Linked DNA regions of Arabidopsis thaliana. The protein of the gene in region 2 interacts with the protein of the main gene of each other region in a biochemical or structural test. Each region holds a gene or a part of one and is shown on either strand. Other genes may lie near its edges.

Evidence for each region. The genes of interacting proteins can lie anywhere in the genome.
Region 1: the proteins of CTR1 (region 2) and ETR1 form a complex in vitro, tested with the Arabidopsis thaliana proteins (2 studies listed by BioGRID).

The regions. Positions count from the first base shown.
Region 1 is NC_003070.9:24,732,401-24,738,718, reverse strand, and holds ETR1 (Signal transduction histidine kinase, hybrid-type, ethylene sensor), read right to left. Parts: upstream 4,558-6,318; 5' UTR 4,436-4,557; intron 4,067-4,435; 5' UTR 4,022-4,066; coding exon 3,116-4,021; intron 3,041-3,115; coding exon 2,672-3,040; intron 2,595-2,671; coding exon 2,340-2,594; intron 2,258-2,339; coding exon 2,130-2,257; intron 2,040-2,129; coding exon 1,842-2,039; intron 1,714-1,841; coding exon 1,353-1,713; 3' UTR 1,001-1,352; downstream 1-1,000. Other genes in the region: AT1G66345 (Pentatricopeptide repeat (PPR) superfamily protein), read right to left, coding at 1-1,000. UniProt on the Arabidopsis thaliana protein: Ethylene receptor related to bacterial two-component regulators. Acts as a redundant negative regulator of ethylene signaling.
Region 2 is NC_003076.8:972,972-982,742, forward strand, and holds CTR1 (Protein kinase superfamily protein), read right to left. Parts: upstream 6,879-9,771; 5' UTR 6,690-6,878; coding exon 6,042-6,689; intron 5,867-6,041; coding exon 5,565-5,866; intron 5,468-5,564; coding exon 5,326-5,467; intron 5,109-5,325; coding exon 5,005-5,108; intron 4,870-5,004; coding exon 4,664-4,869; intron 4,307-4,663; coding exon 4,031-4,306; intron 3,841-4,030; coding exon 3,800-3,840; intron 3,524-3,799; coding exon 3,455-3,523; intron 3,375-3,454; coding exon 3,274-3,374; intron 3,185-3,273; coding exon 3,100-3,184; intron 3,006-3,099; coding exon 2,907-3,005; intron 2,674-2,906; coding exon 2,605-2,673; intron 2,502-2,604; coding exon 2,370-2,501; intron 2,256-2,369; coding exon 2,161-2,255; intron 2,084-2,160; coding exon 1,987-2,083; 3' UTR 1,879-1,986; exon of another isoform or gene 1,738-1,878; 3' UTR 1,389-1,737; downstream 1-1,388. Other genes in the region: HSFA3 (heat shock transcription factor A3), read right to left, coding at 371-712; HD2C (histone deacetylase 2C), read left to right, coding at 9,023-9,035, 9,368-9,438, 9,516-9,727. UniProt on the Arabidopsis thaliana protein: Acts as a negative regulator in the ethylene response pathway. Phosphorylates the cytosolic C-terminal domain of EIN2, preventing the signaling in the absence of ethylene.

The DNA.
Region 1 (6,318 bases), on a different chromosome or scaffold from region 2:
CTCGTTGAAGCATTTCATCAAACACCTTCCGTGCAGACACCAAATCACCTTCCTTAGCTTTCGCATAAACAACAATCGAATAACCAATAGTATCAACAACCATATTCTTCATCAACAATCTCTTCAACAAACTCATACTCTCCTCTATTCTCATCTCTTCCAAAACCCTAAACACTAAACTCGTATTCACAATCACTGAAGGTAAACATCTCTTACCACAAATCCTATCTAACAAATCAACAACTTCTTTCAATCTCCCTTCTTTACACAACACTTGAATCATTATCCGAATCGTAATCTCGTTCGGATAAATCCTTTTATCAATCGCACATTCGTAAATCCTCCACACAAGATCATCAATCTTCGATTTCGAAGAGTAATGAATCAACGTGTTTAAAGTAATCACACTAAGAGTAAATCCACAATCACACAATCTCTTGAACACATCAAACCCTAATTCCAAATACCTAATCTTAGCGTAACATTGAACTAACAAATCAAACACTAAAGGAGTAGAAGATGAGATCTCATAAGTATCTAACAACGAATCGACTAAATCCGAATCGGGAGGAGAATTTAACAGAGACGATTCAATTAAAGCTCGAGCGTCGATTAGTAATCGAGCTTTGACAAGGATATGAATCGTCAATGCGTAAGATTTGATTCCGTGACGGAGATTTCGAGTGTGGGATGACCAATGGAAGAAGGATAAAGCTTGTTTGGCGGTTTCGGGGTTTTTGAATCGGAGAAGGATTGTTTCGATTAAGGAATCTGATAGATCTATGGAGGAGAATTTGGTGGAGAGAGTTTCCCAGGTATCGTTGGATTGGAGGGATTTGGAGATGTAGTCGATGAGGATTTGTTGTTGTTTGTTTGGATTTGGATTAGTTTTGGAGGAGAAGGAGAAGAAGCCATGGATGAGTTTTGGAGATCGGGTTGATTGAGAAACTAAGTAACGCCATTGTTGTTGTTCTACTAAGCGGCGCAAAGCTGACGCCATAATACTGCATCAATGTCATACATGCACGCAACAAGCATCCATAACTCGATCCAAATTCTTATAAGAATGTAACTACATATATAAGGATACAACATTAGTCAAACATGTAATCTGAAATGGTATGATTATACCACCACCATCTTGTTCCTCTATAACCGAAATCGCCACGGACACATACCGGTTTAGAGTTTCTATTTTGTTATTCCCTTTCTGTTTTAAGATATCATCCAAAACGCTCCGACAATCTCTGATATGTACACAATTAAACCAGAGAACATCAGCTTCCGATGTTTTACGGGAGAAGAAGGCGGGAGCGGAATTACTCCTCTGGGGCATGGGGCATCCATCGCCTTTACATGCCCTCGTACAGTACCCGGGGCTCGAGAAGATCAGACAGAACATCTCTTATGTTGTCTAGTGATACGGGTTTGAGCAACACACCGTCTAGACCAAAGCTCATGCATTTCTCTTTTGTGGATTTGTCAGTGTTACCACTGAGTGCCACAAGTAGTGGCCGTTGGTGGCGTTGTTTTGTGAATTTCTCGTGAATACGGAGAGCGATTTGGTAGTTTTCGACCCCGGGCATGCACACGTCCATGAAGACCACTTTGTGCTCATGGGACACAACTCGGAGACACTCCTCGTTTGAACTCACCGTGGTCACTTCGCACCCAAGGTGTACAAGAAGTCCCTTCGTCACCATTCTACTTACCCTGCAACCAAAATAATCATCGGTTTCTCATAAGATTAAATTTGCGTTTTTTCTAAACGCCAATATCTGCATTTGCAAGAAGTAAGGCGAGAGATTTTGCAAAGAGAAAGGTGAGAAGCTTATACTAACCCGTTCTCATCCATGACAAGAACCTTAAGTCCAGTGAAATTTGAATGTCGGGGAATGGCTGGAACTTTCGGTATGCCCGACTGTTTAGATTCGTTTGAACGTTCTGAGATCCCAAGTTTAACATCAAAGATAGCCGTGCATCCTTTTCCAAGACCATCGCTCTCAATCCAAATGTTACCCTCCATCAGATTCACAAACCTTGTCATATTAAACGCTTATGAGTAAACTTTTAACAACACAGAAGACAAGAAAAAGTTGGAAAAAAACGTCTTTTAATAAGGCTCAAACCTCTTGGAGATGGCGAGGCCAAGCCCACTACCACCCGAGCTTCTCGTCGCTAAAGATTGTGTTTGAGCAAATTTAGTGAAAATCTTTGGAATGTCTTGAGGATTTATTCCTGCTCCAGAGTCTTTTACCTATATTTGAATAATCATCAAAATTAAGACCTAAGAAATACTTTCAGCTATGGTATAAGATCCCAAGATACAAGATAATAACCTTCACTCTCAAGTAGAAATGACTCCCAGTTGGCACGACAAAAAAGTCAGCAGCTCGTGTGTCTGACTTGGTGACAAGAGCGGTTACGGAGATACTACCTTGTTTGGAGAATTTCACAGCATTACCAACTATATTTAATATTATCTGCATTAGCCGTTTCTCATCCCCAACAACAAATTCTGGCAAATCTGGTGCAAGATTTAGTGTGATGGGTAATTTCTTAACAACCGCTATAGGCTTTATCAGATTGAGGACCTGCAACAAGATTCAATATGACAATCAAGTACACAAATAGTATAAACTTATGAAACATAGAGCTGTTCAAAAGTTACCTCTCTAAATAATGTATGAAGATTGAATGTCCCAAGTTCAAGTTGAAGACTTCCATCTTCTAACCTTGAAAGATCTAAGACATCATTCATCAAAGTTGCCAAAAGGTTACTACTTTTAAGTATTGTTTCCACCATCAGTCTTTGTTCAGGGGTTAGTTCCGTTTCTTGGAGTAAGGAAGAGAGTGCAATAATCGCATGCATCGGTGTTCGCATTTCATGGTTCATAACCGCTAGGAAATCATTGCGGGCACGGATTGCTGTTTCTGCTTCTCGTCTAGCTAGATCAAGAGCAACATTCTGCTCCATGAGAAGGTCCCTAGCTCGCATCGACTCTTCTAGGATCGCAGCATGTGAGAGAGCTACAGCCACCTATAATAAGAGAAGAAAAGTTATAGACAAGATCATGAACATAGCAAAGAAGAGAAATTCTCAGCAATGTAAAACCTGATCAGCGACGACTTCAACGAGTTCCAACTCATGGACATGCCATTGCCTTGCACTATCTGAAGGAAGCATCAAAACCATCAAAGCATATCTCTTTGTTGAAAGCTCAGGCCAGTCATTAATCTGAAAATTAGAAAGGTGGAGAAGCGGAACCCTCACAGCGACCACCTCCCCTAGCATATATTTCCCAGAAACAGGTCTCAACCTAGCCACAGGAGAATTAGGAGATATTTTTACAGCCCTACTAGTACCAAACACTTGGTTAATCACCGGTAATTGAATAGGAACCGTATACTCCACGGGATGTTGATGACGAAGTGTATAAGAAAGCTGTAGCTCTAACCCAGTTCTAGTAGGCATCCACAATGCACACTCCTCCAAAGCTAATGTCCTACCAAGCTCAACAAGTGTAGTCTTTAAAATAGTATGTCTATCTAAAGTGCTTCTAATCTCATGAGTCAACATTCTCACATGCCTTCCGGTTTCTTCCTGAGTTCGAATCAATCCCATTTCTCTATCGAGCTCAGCAGCTTTATTTTTCAAGAAAAGCTCCCGAGTCTTAACACTCAAAAGATCAGGAATAATATGAACAAGCATCAACGCAGTAGCACACGAGACAACAGCGGTTAACACCTTCGCGGTAGTCATCACAAGCGCCACGGTTCTCGAATGCGTAGTGAAAGTCCATAAGTTAATAAGATGAGTTGCTCCACAAAGAACGATAAAAGCACCAAACTGAACAAGTACCCATCTATACGGAAACACGGCTGATTTCTTCACAAAGTAAATCAACTCAAGAGGAATCGAAAAATACGCAATCGCAATGAAGAAATCGGAGATGTATTGGTATTTCATTAACAATTCATCCGCTGGCCATTGCGGTTCAATACAATTGCAGACTTCCATTATGAATTTTTTACACTATAGTTCCTCTCTCACACATACACACACCTGTGTAACAAACACATAGCATTATCAACTTCGATTTACGACGAGAACGTAGCGTAGACAGATCATGAGCATCAAAATTGCTATAAATTCTGAAGAATCGAATTCGATCACAACGATTACGAAAAAATAGGTTGCATATTTCAGTCTCGAGAACAGTAAAATTCGAATCCGAATCATGAAATTAACGATTAAATCTTAATTTAAAGTTCCTAATAACGATGCATTACACTAGATAAAGACCAATTAGGTTAATCAATCTCTATGATTTGAGATCGACGACAACAACAGAAGAAAACTGTGGAAGTGAAGAATATATATAAAGAAGTCACGAAACAATCTGAGGAGAGAATCGAGGAAGAAGAAGCTTACTTGGGAAGAATTGATCGGAGAAGAGGAGGAATTGGGGATTTGGGACGCGGCGGAGAGCGACGGAGAAGGAGAAAAGGGGAGCGTTGAAGCTTTTTTTCAAGTCAAAATTGGTTGGGTTTAACACTTCTTCTTCGTTCTTACTTTTTTTTTCGACGTCATTTCTCTAATTTTTTTGTTATTATTATCAGATGTTTTTTTTTAATAAAAAAGGGTAATATAGCTGGTGGGTGCATGAATTTGTTCATTCAAATATCTTATGATAGTGTAATGACGTAATGTAGATAAAGGAATAGAGTAAAAATGGTAAGAAAAATACAGATAATATAGGATAAATATCCCCATATTTATCAACAAATACTATCTTTATGGTTTCACCAAAAAATGCAAAATATTGTTTTCACTAACTTTCACCTTACATTGATTCGTATGATTTCAAAAAAGGAGAATGATAATGTCATTTGGAGATTAAGCAATATATATGTTTAGCCAATATAAAATTATGAGTTTTAAGTGTAATCTTATGTAAATAATCGTTTGTATAAAACATTATATAGTTGTAAGAGAAGTAAAACAAGTTGAATCAAACAAATATGTTCATGTGAATAAAAGCTATATTATGTCAACTTGGAGATATATCAAACTACTAATGTTATATCTGGTTAACTGTAATATATCTCCAAATTGACATAATATAGGTTTTCAGTACCTCAAAACTAAATCAGAGTTAACCAGAAATTTGATCCTAAACCAAAAGTATATTAAGCAATTATATAAAATTATTACATTAGTTTTTTTTGAAATCAATCCTCCGAAAAATGTACATAAGACCTTAACCAGTCAAATCAAAATCCAAACAAAACTAAATTTCATCGATTCAATTCTCAACCAACGTTTATGTCTCATATATACTAGTGTTGATTACTTCAAACTTACAATATGGAATCTTAATATATACCTTCAAGATGATGGCTCTAATCAGCCTATCTCGAACTGAATCTCATTTTAAGATCAGTATTAAATCTCAACACACGAAATTTTGATACATACAGTAAAACCTCTATAAATTAATACTCGATAAATTAATAATCTCTATAAATTAATAAATTTTTTCGGTCCCGAGTTGGAACCACTGTAAAAAGTGATACAAATCGATAAATTAATAAGATAATAGTTTTTTTGAAAATCTTATATAAACATAGGGTCCCATTAATATCATAAATTACAGAGAAATATAATTTTAATATTGTTTTTTTTTTACTTAAATTTGTATAAGTTTTTTTTTATTTCATTTTAATATTTTTACTCTATCAAAAACTTTTCTTGTTGTTTTCTAGACATGATAATTATTTCTATTTGTAATTGGTTCTAAAAATATATTTTAGATAATGGAATGAATCTTAAATTTTTATAGAAATTAAAAAAAAAATTACCACTTTTGGAAAATCTCTCTGTAAATTAATAAATATTAATTTATCGATAAATTAATACCTTTATAAATTAATAGAATTTTGTGGTCTCAACATTATTAATTTATAGAGATTTTACTGTATTAAATTTTATGGATTTCCAAATTAAATCTAATTAATAATAAATAGATTGGTGTATATTCTTTATATATAAGTGTTGGTCCTTCAATTTAAAATAAGAATAAAAATCGCAATACCAAAATATATGGATTGAACCAAATTGATATTAAGGGAAAGAGTGGGGCCAATACTATAATGACCAGAGAATCGAAATAGAAAGAAAACTTAGGACATGGTTGGCTCACACTGGTCCACAAGTAACTCTTGTGGTTACAATTTTCACTTCTAATCCCATAATTCTCCTTCTTTGTCCTCTTCTTTCTCCCTAAAATCCTAAATCCTTCTTTGGATTACTCT
Region 2 (9,771 bases):
GTTAACATTGTGAGAAAATAACAAAACTTCATAAACCAAAATTCTCCATTCAAACGAAACCATAAGTATACAAGATTACAAGCTTATTTCAGATGAGAAGTTATTATAAGATCCAATCGAGGCCAAAATTTCATAGATACAAAACTCAGTGTTACATGATAGAGAGATTAAACAAATCCCAAAAAGAAAAGAAAATTACAGGTAATTTTTTACAAGTTATCAAAAAACGAGTTTCAAGAATCTATACAAAATGGTTTTGGTCATCAAAAAGATTACAGAAACATAAAAACAAAACAAAACTGAAAGAAGAAGAAGAAGAAGAAGAATGAGTCTATCTAGAAAACAGAAACAGAGCAAGAGAGATGATTACATAAGTGTTAAGCTGTCTGACGAAGCTGGAGAAATTGTTGTGTTTGAAATTCCTTGGAAGTATGATTCTGGCAAACTCTAGAGGATCCCAAACTACGAAGCTAGCTCCGGTCAGTCCCCAAGAGATGACCGGGTCAAGAGTCGGGTCATCAACCAAATCAAAAGTCTTGGATAAAAAAGGTGGAATTGGATTCCCTTGTAAGATGTCTAGTGGCATGGGAAGTGGTGACCCAGAGAAACCCATGTCAGTGTCGACGTAGAGAGACCCGGGTATATCGGATCGTCTCGAAACGGGTACTGAAATTGGAGTTGGTTTAGAAACAGCATCTTTTTTTGGGCTCATTTGATATAGTAGAAAATTTACGGGTTTTAGTGAGAGAGAGAGTGAGAAATTGGGGTGTGTGTGATAATTAGGGGGTTTAAGAGAAGAAGGATGAGAGGTTTAATGGTTTATAAAGGTTTAGGGAAGGAAGTAACCGACAAACTGTAGTCAGATAATTGAAAAAAATCTGGGGAATAGAGAGGCGGTGGAAATGGGTGGGTCAGTTCCCGCCACCGTGGATTTATCTTTTTCGTCATCATGTTCCATTGATTCATCAGTTTAGAAGAAATTTGGAAACTTTAGTGACAAATAATTGTACAACCGACATTGAAATTGAAAGTTGTTTCCTTGCAGCTTCACTTAGCTCTCTCTCTCTGTGATTTGGTGAAGGAGAGAAAGTGGTGACGATGGTGGGTCCCACGTCATCTTGAGATTTTTGAAAGGAGGAGTGATTTAGCGCGTTTGCCAGGTCAGCTTTCTAATTTGGAACTGGGCCCTCACAAATCACTGATTCGCTTTTCGTGTTTCCTTTTTCAGAATTTAATATTGTATAATTTTGATTTACGCAATCCTATTGGTTACCGATCCATCAAACGATTAATTCGGAAGACAGGTAAAGTCGTTTTCAAGTGTGGGAACTTACTTAGACGCGAAGGCAAAAATAGTTGACTATGTATCTAGATATTTTCAGTCCCAATGCGTTTTTAACGATTTGGGATTATATTCATCTGTATTAGAGTCTCCGAAAGTTACAGTCTTATTTCATTTCTGTTGGTTTATAGTCCAGACTAATCGCACAGTGAACAAATGTAAATCCAATGAATCATATTGAGTTTGCAAAACCCTTTGACAGCATTTACCAGCTGCTCTTTTTTACCTTCGCTTAGTAACTAATTTAGCGGTATAAATGTACAGCAATGTAATTAAATATAGCTTTCAGTGCATTGCTACAAAGACATAACAACAAAATATTGCTTACCCTTTGGGACTAGATAGATAGATTATATCCCTCACATTGTTTCCATTACTACATTTTTTTTTCCTCCCTGTGACAATAGTCATGTACATTTTAACAATCTGCAACATTAAAAAGGGAACAAAACAGCAGACAAAGATCGCAAAAATAATACATGTATAAAAACCATGGGATTCTGTAGGATATGATTGATAGCTCATGAGGAATGTACCTTTAAAGCTATATCTTAACTAGTGTCTCCCTCCTGGGCAGCAAAAGAATGCTGAGAGTATATGTGCATATCATGATTATAACAACTTTTGAATGGACCGGGGGTATTTTACAAATCCGAGCGGTTGGGCGGAGGAACCGCTGATTTGATCAATGGTCTTAGCAAGTCCATTATAGTTGCAAATGATGGACGCTTCCATGGCTCACTGGTAATGAAACACATACATAAACATGAAGTCTATTCAAGAAGAATTCAAAAAAGAGATAGAAAATCTTAACGTACTTGGTCCAACAACCCTCGATTATGGCTGCAACCTGAGGATTCAGATTACGCGGGATCTCCAGCCGTTTACACTTGAAACCAACCGCAGCTACAACCTATGGAACATTTTTTTGTATGATCATATATAGCATGTTATGAAATGTAGAGTGAGGGACTTCCAAATGCAAAATAATATCATTATTATTTGAGATGTTTAGAGTGGAAAGTACCTGAGCCGGATTTAAGTTACCCCATGGTTGTTGCAATGTAGCAAGCTCCCACAAGATGACCCCGAAGCTGTACACATCTGACTTTTCATTAGACGGCTCATCTCGCAGGACTTCTGGTGCCATCCACTCGGGCTGATATATCAAAGTCAGTAATTATTTAGCTTCCATTGGAAATAGGACCTAGAAGAAAGTTACGTTGTTCAGCGTGTTTTAGTTTCAAACAAACTGAACTTACGGTTCCAGCTGCTGACTTCGAGGAAAGAAACGTGCTGGCCTTCAATCGCGAGAGACCAAAATCACAAACCTGAAATTTCAAGACAAATTGAGGAGTTAGAATAATAATGTTCTGATTGTTTTTAAGACGACAGCTTGAGGCTGCTGTATCTTTTAAGTTTCAGCAGATTAACGCCTTTTTGTAATGTCTCCAAACCAATTTAGAATTAAAAATCATAATTTATATATAAGCTTGTCTCACAAGAGGAATAAAATATCAAAATCAAAACATTGGACACAACAATTTCTAATTTAGATTCAAACCTTGACTGTATATTTTTTGTCAACCAATAAGTTTGGAGATTTTAGATCTCTATGCACAATTGGAGGATTGCGATTGTGAAGATAATTCATTCCCTTAGCCTGTGACAGAGAATTGGAAAGAAAGTTCCATGTGAAGAAACACCAAGATCAGGAAGTAATCACCCATACATGTAACATAAGGAATTAAACATACCACATCATAAGCCATACTCAGGCGACGTCTCTCATCTAATTGCTCCCTTGCTCCACTTTTATGCAAAAGTCTGTATAAACTACCTCTGTTTGAAAGAAATCATGGTATTAGAGTCATTATAGGCCAAAATTCTACACTCAGTACATCAAACCTTCCAAATCCAAGTAATTGTACCTTGACAAATATTCTGTCACTATTGACAAATTTGGAGGTTGAGTGACCGCACCCATGAAGAGAACAATGTTAGGGTGGCGAAGGCGTTTCATTATCGCAACCTGACAGCGAATCAAGATCATTGGAGACATTAATACAACAAGTTCATTACCAAAATCAAGAGAAAATTTTATTTGTGCACCTCTCTTAAGAACTCATTAACACGCTCAGCATGGAAGTCTTGCTCCATGAGAATTTTCACAGCAACATCCTGAAATTGATAGAGAATATTACTGCAATAATCAAAATTAGAATTCTTCTAGTGATAGAATTGTAAAATTCAAACAGGAAGACAAATTTATGATATAAAGACACATATACATCTAAAATGGGACACCTTTTGTCCGTGTTTAATTTCTGACAGAACGGAGAGTCACATATACAATAACTTTGCCTTTTATAATACCAAGCAGATCCAAAAGTCACAACCAAATTTTTAGAGCGAAAAAAAATTCAGCTGCGTAAATTCTGACAAAAAAGTTCTTACCGAGCCATGCCACTCAGCACGGTGGACAGTGCCAAAGGAACCTGAAAGAGCAGTCGCTCAAATTAGAGTGGAAGAATTAAAGGCAACAGAGAAGAATGTAATCTCAAAATGGGTGGCACTTTTTCCTTATTTTGTTCGAGAACAGAGTCCAAAGCAAAACCACTTCCTCAAGAATTTCATATTTCTTTGCATTTTTAGACCGAATCATTAATTTTTCCGTAAAATTATTACCTGCTCCAATCTTTTCTTTTATATTAAGATCACACCACGGGATGTCCATATCATCACCATCAAGTCCAAGTTCCCTATTTGCCCTGTTTGGAACTGGCTGACTGATTGGTGGGGCATTCATAGGTGCTGCTTCAATTTGATTTGACGCACGCATCATGTTCTGTGGAGGCATATTAGCACTGGGTGGCAAAGACCCACCACCATTTTCTGCCAATGCGTCATTCTCTCCACCCGGATTATCATATTGCCTATGAAACATTGAGAATCCCATATCATCTACAACCATTCAAACAAGCAGATATAAGAAATTAGAGTCCAGAAGACAAGTCTTGCACATAAATGCACTAGAATTCATAAGCTTGAACAGCAGACTAACAAGTTTAACCTTAAATATCATTAGGCAAAGAACCCACCAACAAACATACACATCAACAGCCAAAAACAACTAAAGTGAAAAGAGACAAGAAAACAAACAATAGAATCATTCTAAGACTACTAACACTTCAGATACTGAGACATGATCAAGAAATACCCTAAATGATAGGAGATTACTCTTTTAGGGGAAATACAAAACGAGATGTAAGCAGCATGCAAAAAGTTAACATATTATTCAGGTTTTTTGTATGGGAATACCTGATGCAGGATCGAAAACAAGATTAAGAGACTGGCTATCGGAGAAATATTGTTTGGCTAGTAACCTAAAATCGACTGCGGGTTCAACTGGCTTTGGTCGTGGAAACCGCAGAGGAGAAGAAATTGAGATAGATGAAGGACCATTTAGCAAGGAATCAGGCTCCCATAAGTGACCTGGCTTTCCTACTAAATCAACCAGGTACTCCCTGAAACCAAAACAAATTTTCCACGTCATCAACCTAATATTCTGCGAAACATTTGGAGCTATAATTGTTTTTCCAGAAACAAAAAGCAAAGAAAATAGGAAAATAAAGGCTCTTTCGCAATCACTTGTATCATACCTATCAAGCCCAAACCTGACAAGGCACGAAGCGGCATCGTCTCTATTACAATATTTACATCCTTTGGCAATTCGACAGGGTAAATCAATTATGTCAGCCAGTACCTGCATGCACCAAATAGAAGATATAAAATACTTTTTTTCTTTGGAACATTCAACTATCAGTAACCTATTTTTTTCTAATCAATAACACCACTTTTCACATTCAACGTTCTTCATATGTATTCCAATAAAAACAAATGGATGAAGCACAATAATTTATATGATCATTTCACAAGATGTCTTAAATGTCATGGGGATAGCATCAAAGTTGGGATCTCACTTTGAAGAGTAAAGCTCGATGTCTGCAGAGTCCAACAGAGAGGCTACCTATGGGAACCACCACTTTAAAGATTTCTTTTAGACCATCAATGCACTCCTTCCACATGGGAACCAACTCATCTTCCCCCATGATAACTGGACCCCTGGGGAAGCAAGAATTAACGAGTACAATGTGAGAAATCACAGGAAGATATAAAAATATAAGTTCAAAGGGATAGTAAGGATTGTATGAGTACAAACCCCATACGATTGCAGATAAGCTTTGCCAGCTGATCAACAACCTCTTTTGTGGTAATGCAGCTACAAGATATGTCGTGGACTCTATTGTGAAGTTCCTTGAAGGCTGGATCACTACGCCTATCAACTATGATCGCTTCAAGCGAAGAATCAACACCAGAATCAACAGCTCTTAATGATTCAATTGAAGGGATGCGACCACTTTCATGCAGGTCGATGCATAAGGTCCAAATATAGGGATCCAGACCATTCATCATATAAAACCCATCAGGAACTTTATCATAGTACGATAAGCAGCCATTAACCTGATGCAGCACACAAAACAATCATACTCTGCAATGTATCTAAACAACATATCTCATTTGCTACTAATAGACTTTTGGTAAGGAGATCTAACTGAAACTTCGGAAACAAGAGGACCATATCTCTATAACCACGATTCAATAATTTTGGGAAACAAAGCTTAACAGGAACAAATACCCAGAAACGATGTGAAACGGTTTCGGCTGAACTTGGCGAAGTCCGTAAAGCAGACTCGTCCGGTACAGGATCCAGAAAGTTCGGATCGTCGGCACAAGTAGCCTCCGACGAAAGCCTTAACGCCAATGCAAGCTGCAGCTGATAACTCTCCTCCGTCTGCTGCGCCCAGCTCTTCCCAGATGAAGACCCTCCAGCGGAGTCCGCCGCCATCTGTATCCTCAAATCTCCTCCACCACCACCAAATCCAAGCCTAAACCCATCATCTTGAGGAAATCCAACAGATTCGATCTCGTTAGCCGCCGCAGAAAGCGTAGGCATGTAATAATCCCCAGACAAAGAGCTCTCACCGAAACTACTCCCACTGGATTGCCTTTGCAACCCTAGAGACGAAGCATACATATTATTCCCAACCCGATTCGGTTGATTATTCAACCTATGATCACCACCACCACCACCGCTAGGATCCCAATCAAATCCGCCTCTCTCCGCCTTAGCTTTCCCGGTGTTCCCGCTGTTATGGTTGCTCCTGTTTTCGCTCGACAAGGAATCATAGTGAGGCGGAGGAGCTCCGGTGACGGAAACTGACACCTGATCGTCAGAAAATTGACTAAGCAAAGTGTAATTAGATCTTCTACCGGGCATTTCCATGGAAAAGAGAGTTATCGCGATCTAGATGAGAGAGTTTCCCGATCATATAAACATCAAACCCTAGGAAACCGCCATTGTTGAAGAAGTTTGGCGAGCTAGCTAGCCACTTGTTTCTCTCTCTAGTTTTTCATTTTTTTTTTGTACTTTTTAAAAAAGTCTCTCTCTCTCTCTCTCTCTCTCTCTCTCTCTAATGGAATTGGATTTTTTTTTTGTTTTTGCGTTATCATAGGAAATAAACTTACTCGGTGCGTTTCTGTTGATAATTTCGTTATATTCCTCTTTTGTCCTCCTTTTTATGGAACTTTGACATTTTTTTTATTTTTTGTCAAAACAATTCTCCAATTTAGTTTGTTTTTTAGTGTATTATTATTTGTCTAATTTTTGTATTCGACTATGATATCTATTCATATGTTTTGTGCTAATTTAATCGCTAATAAAACTGTTTAAACAATTAATTTGGTATTTCATATTTTGGTGATAAGCAACTGAAATTGGAAGATAAAAAGTAGTATCGTAGTGAAAGTAGAAAACGCAAAGCTAAAAGAGGAACATACACAGTGTAAAATACTAAACCATCTTGCCTATCAAATCCAAATACTATCAAATTTGATCTTTTACACCAATCTGAATCCGTAACATTGGATCCAAGTTTCGTATACCTAAACATGAAATTTTCATTCGGCTCTACGTAGTCTAAAAAACTCGACATAAAATAAATAAAAAGCCTTTATAACGTCCACAATATTTAGAATAGAAAGTGAGAGAATGGACTATAATAAAATAATTGGAGTCGAGGGGGATGTATTCGTGTATGCGAAAATGGATGGGCTCTTCTGTCTTTATATTCCTTAATTTGTCTATTCAAACACATTCGTATTTCTGGTCTTCGGCCTGCGACTTCTATACCATGCATGCATCTTATCTCTCTCTTTTTTTTTTTTTTTCGTTTTCTTTTCTACTTCTCCATTTTTTTTTAATTTGGTTATTTTTATTGCCTTTATGTTTTTTGTGTATTATATATAAATGAACTAATAATACTTCATTATGTTTCGTGTTATTATAAGTGAATTTTTCACAACCATTACAAAAAATTATCTTTTGCTTAAAAGTTAACTTTGGATTATAGTACTTCATAAAAATGTAAAGATTTTGATCAAGTACTTATCAACGCAGCTTGGGTAGTCAATGTGCTGTCATTAATTTATCTATCAAGCTATCCACGCAGCTTGGACAATAAATAAATATTTAAATTCTATTGCATATTTATATCATTTGATCCGCTAAGGTTCATCGAATACTGCCAGGTTCATTGCACTCAACGCATTTTTGTCATTAACTTACGTTTTTTAGCCATGGCTGCTGAGAATATAAAGTTGCTACTATGTAAAGAAACTTTTGGGTTTGATCATATTTGTGCACAAAAAAAAATAAAAAAAAAATCATACTTTTAAAACTAGTATTAATCCAAAAAGTGCTAAAACATAACAAAAAAAAATTCTCCTTAACTACTATACAAACATATATTTTTTTATGCGCATAAATTAAAACTTAACAATTGATTATGATCACATATGTTGAAAAAAATCGAAATTATGTGTGATATGTAAAACCGGAGTATAATATTGGTAAACTATAAATTTAAGAGCATTGGAAAATGTTCATGATTCATGCCGAGAACTCTTCTAAATCTAAACACGAGAGGCCCCGAATAGATCTAACTAAAATGAATTGTGTTTAATATAATAATAGTGTTCCTTAATTCTCACTCGTGCAACTATCCATTTAATAATTTTAATTATTCGTAGTCGGGGACCGTACTTAGTTTTATCATATAAACTCTTCACAGATTTTGTTAACTGGTTTTTCTTTGGATTAGAAAAAAATTAAAACTTTGCGATACATTATGCTCAATTTATCCGTGGGACTTATTTTGAGGAATGGAGATAGATATTGTCATGAAGACATGAATATATAGACCCCACATGTTGACGAAAACTCCGTCAGTCAAATAAAGTGTTAAAAGTCCGTTACGATCCGTCCTGACACCGTTAAAAAAAGCCGTCAAAATAAAGTATGGGCTTGAAACGTTAGTTTTGTTGGGCTAATTTTAAAATCATGGCCCAACTAAAGGAGATATTCGAGTGGACCGCGTAACAGAGGATCCCTAAAATCCCTTCCTCCGATTAATAAATTCCAGCGGACATTTTAGCCTTCTCACATCAACACGCCCTAAAACCGCTCTCGAGAGACGAATCGCTCTCAGCTTCTTCTAGAACCTTCTCCTTCTCCTTCGACGCATCGTCGCCTTCAAGATCACACTACCTCGCACAACAATGGAGTTCTGGGGTAAAAAACATCTCCTATCTTACTCCTTCTTCTTCTTCGTTCTCTGCGCTTCATTTCCTGCATTTAGTTTTTTTTTAGCTTCTGGTTTCATCGCTTTTTTTCGTTTTGCCATGTTTTTCTACTGTTTTTTCTATGGAATCTTCTGTTTAGCTAAACGAGAAACGGGAATAGTGAGTATATGTGACAATCTAGGGTATGGACTGTTCGTCTTCGTAGAAAATTGGGGAAAACTGAAAAGTTTTCTCTCTCGCTAGGTTTTAACTCCGATAGAGGTTTCATTTGGGGATTTTGTTGCAGAATTACTGATTTGTATGCTTTCTATGCGTTTGCAGGTGTTGAAGTTAAGAATGGCAAACCACTTCACCTAGATCCTGGGCTAGACAGGCTCGTGCACATCTCTCAGGTACTTTTGAATTTGCAAGCTTAATTTGATTTATAAGAATGTATTTTACAGTGACGTTTGGTTTATTTTTGTTGAAGGTTGCTTTGGGAGAGAGTAAGAACAATGTAACCGAACCAATCCAGCTTTACGTGACTGTTGGATCGGATAAGCTTCTCATTGGAACGCTATCTCATGAGAAGTTTCCTCAGCTGTCTACGGAGATTGTCTTGGAAAGGAACTTTGCGCTGTCTCATACTTGGAAGAATGGGAGCGTTTTCTTCTCTGGTTACAAAGTTGATGCATCTGATCCATATCCTTTACTATTTGAACATTTTTGTTGTTATCGCTTTAAGC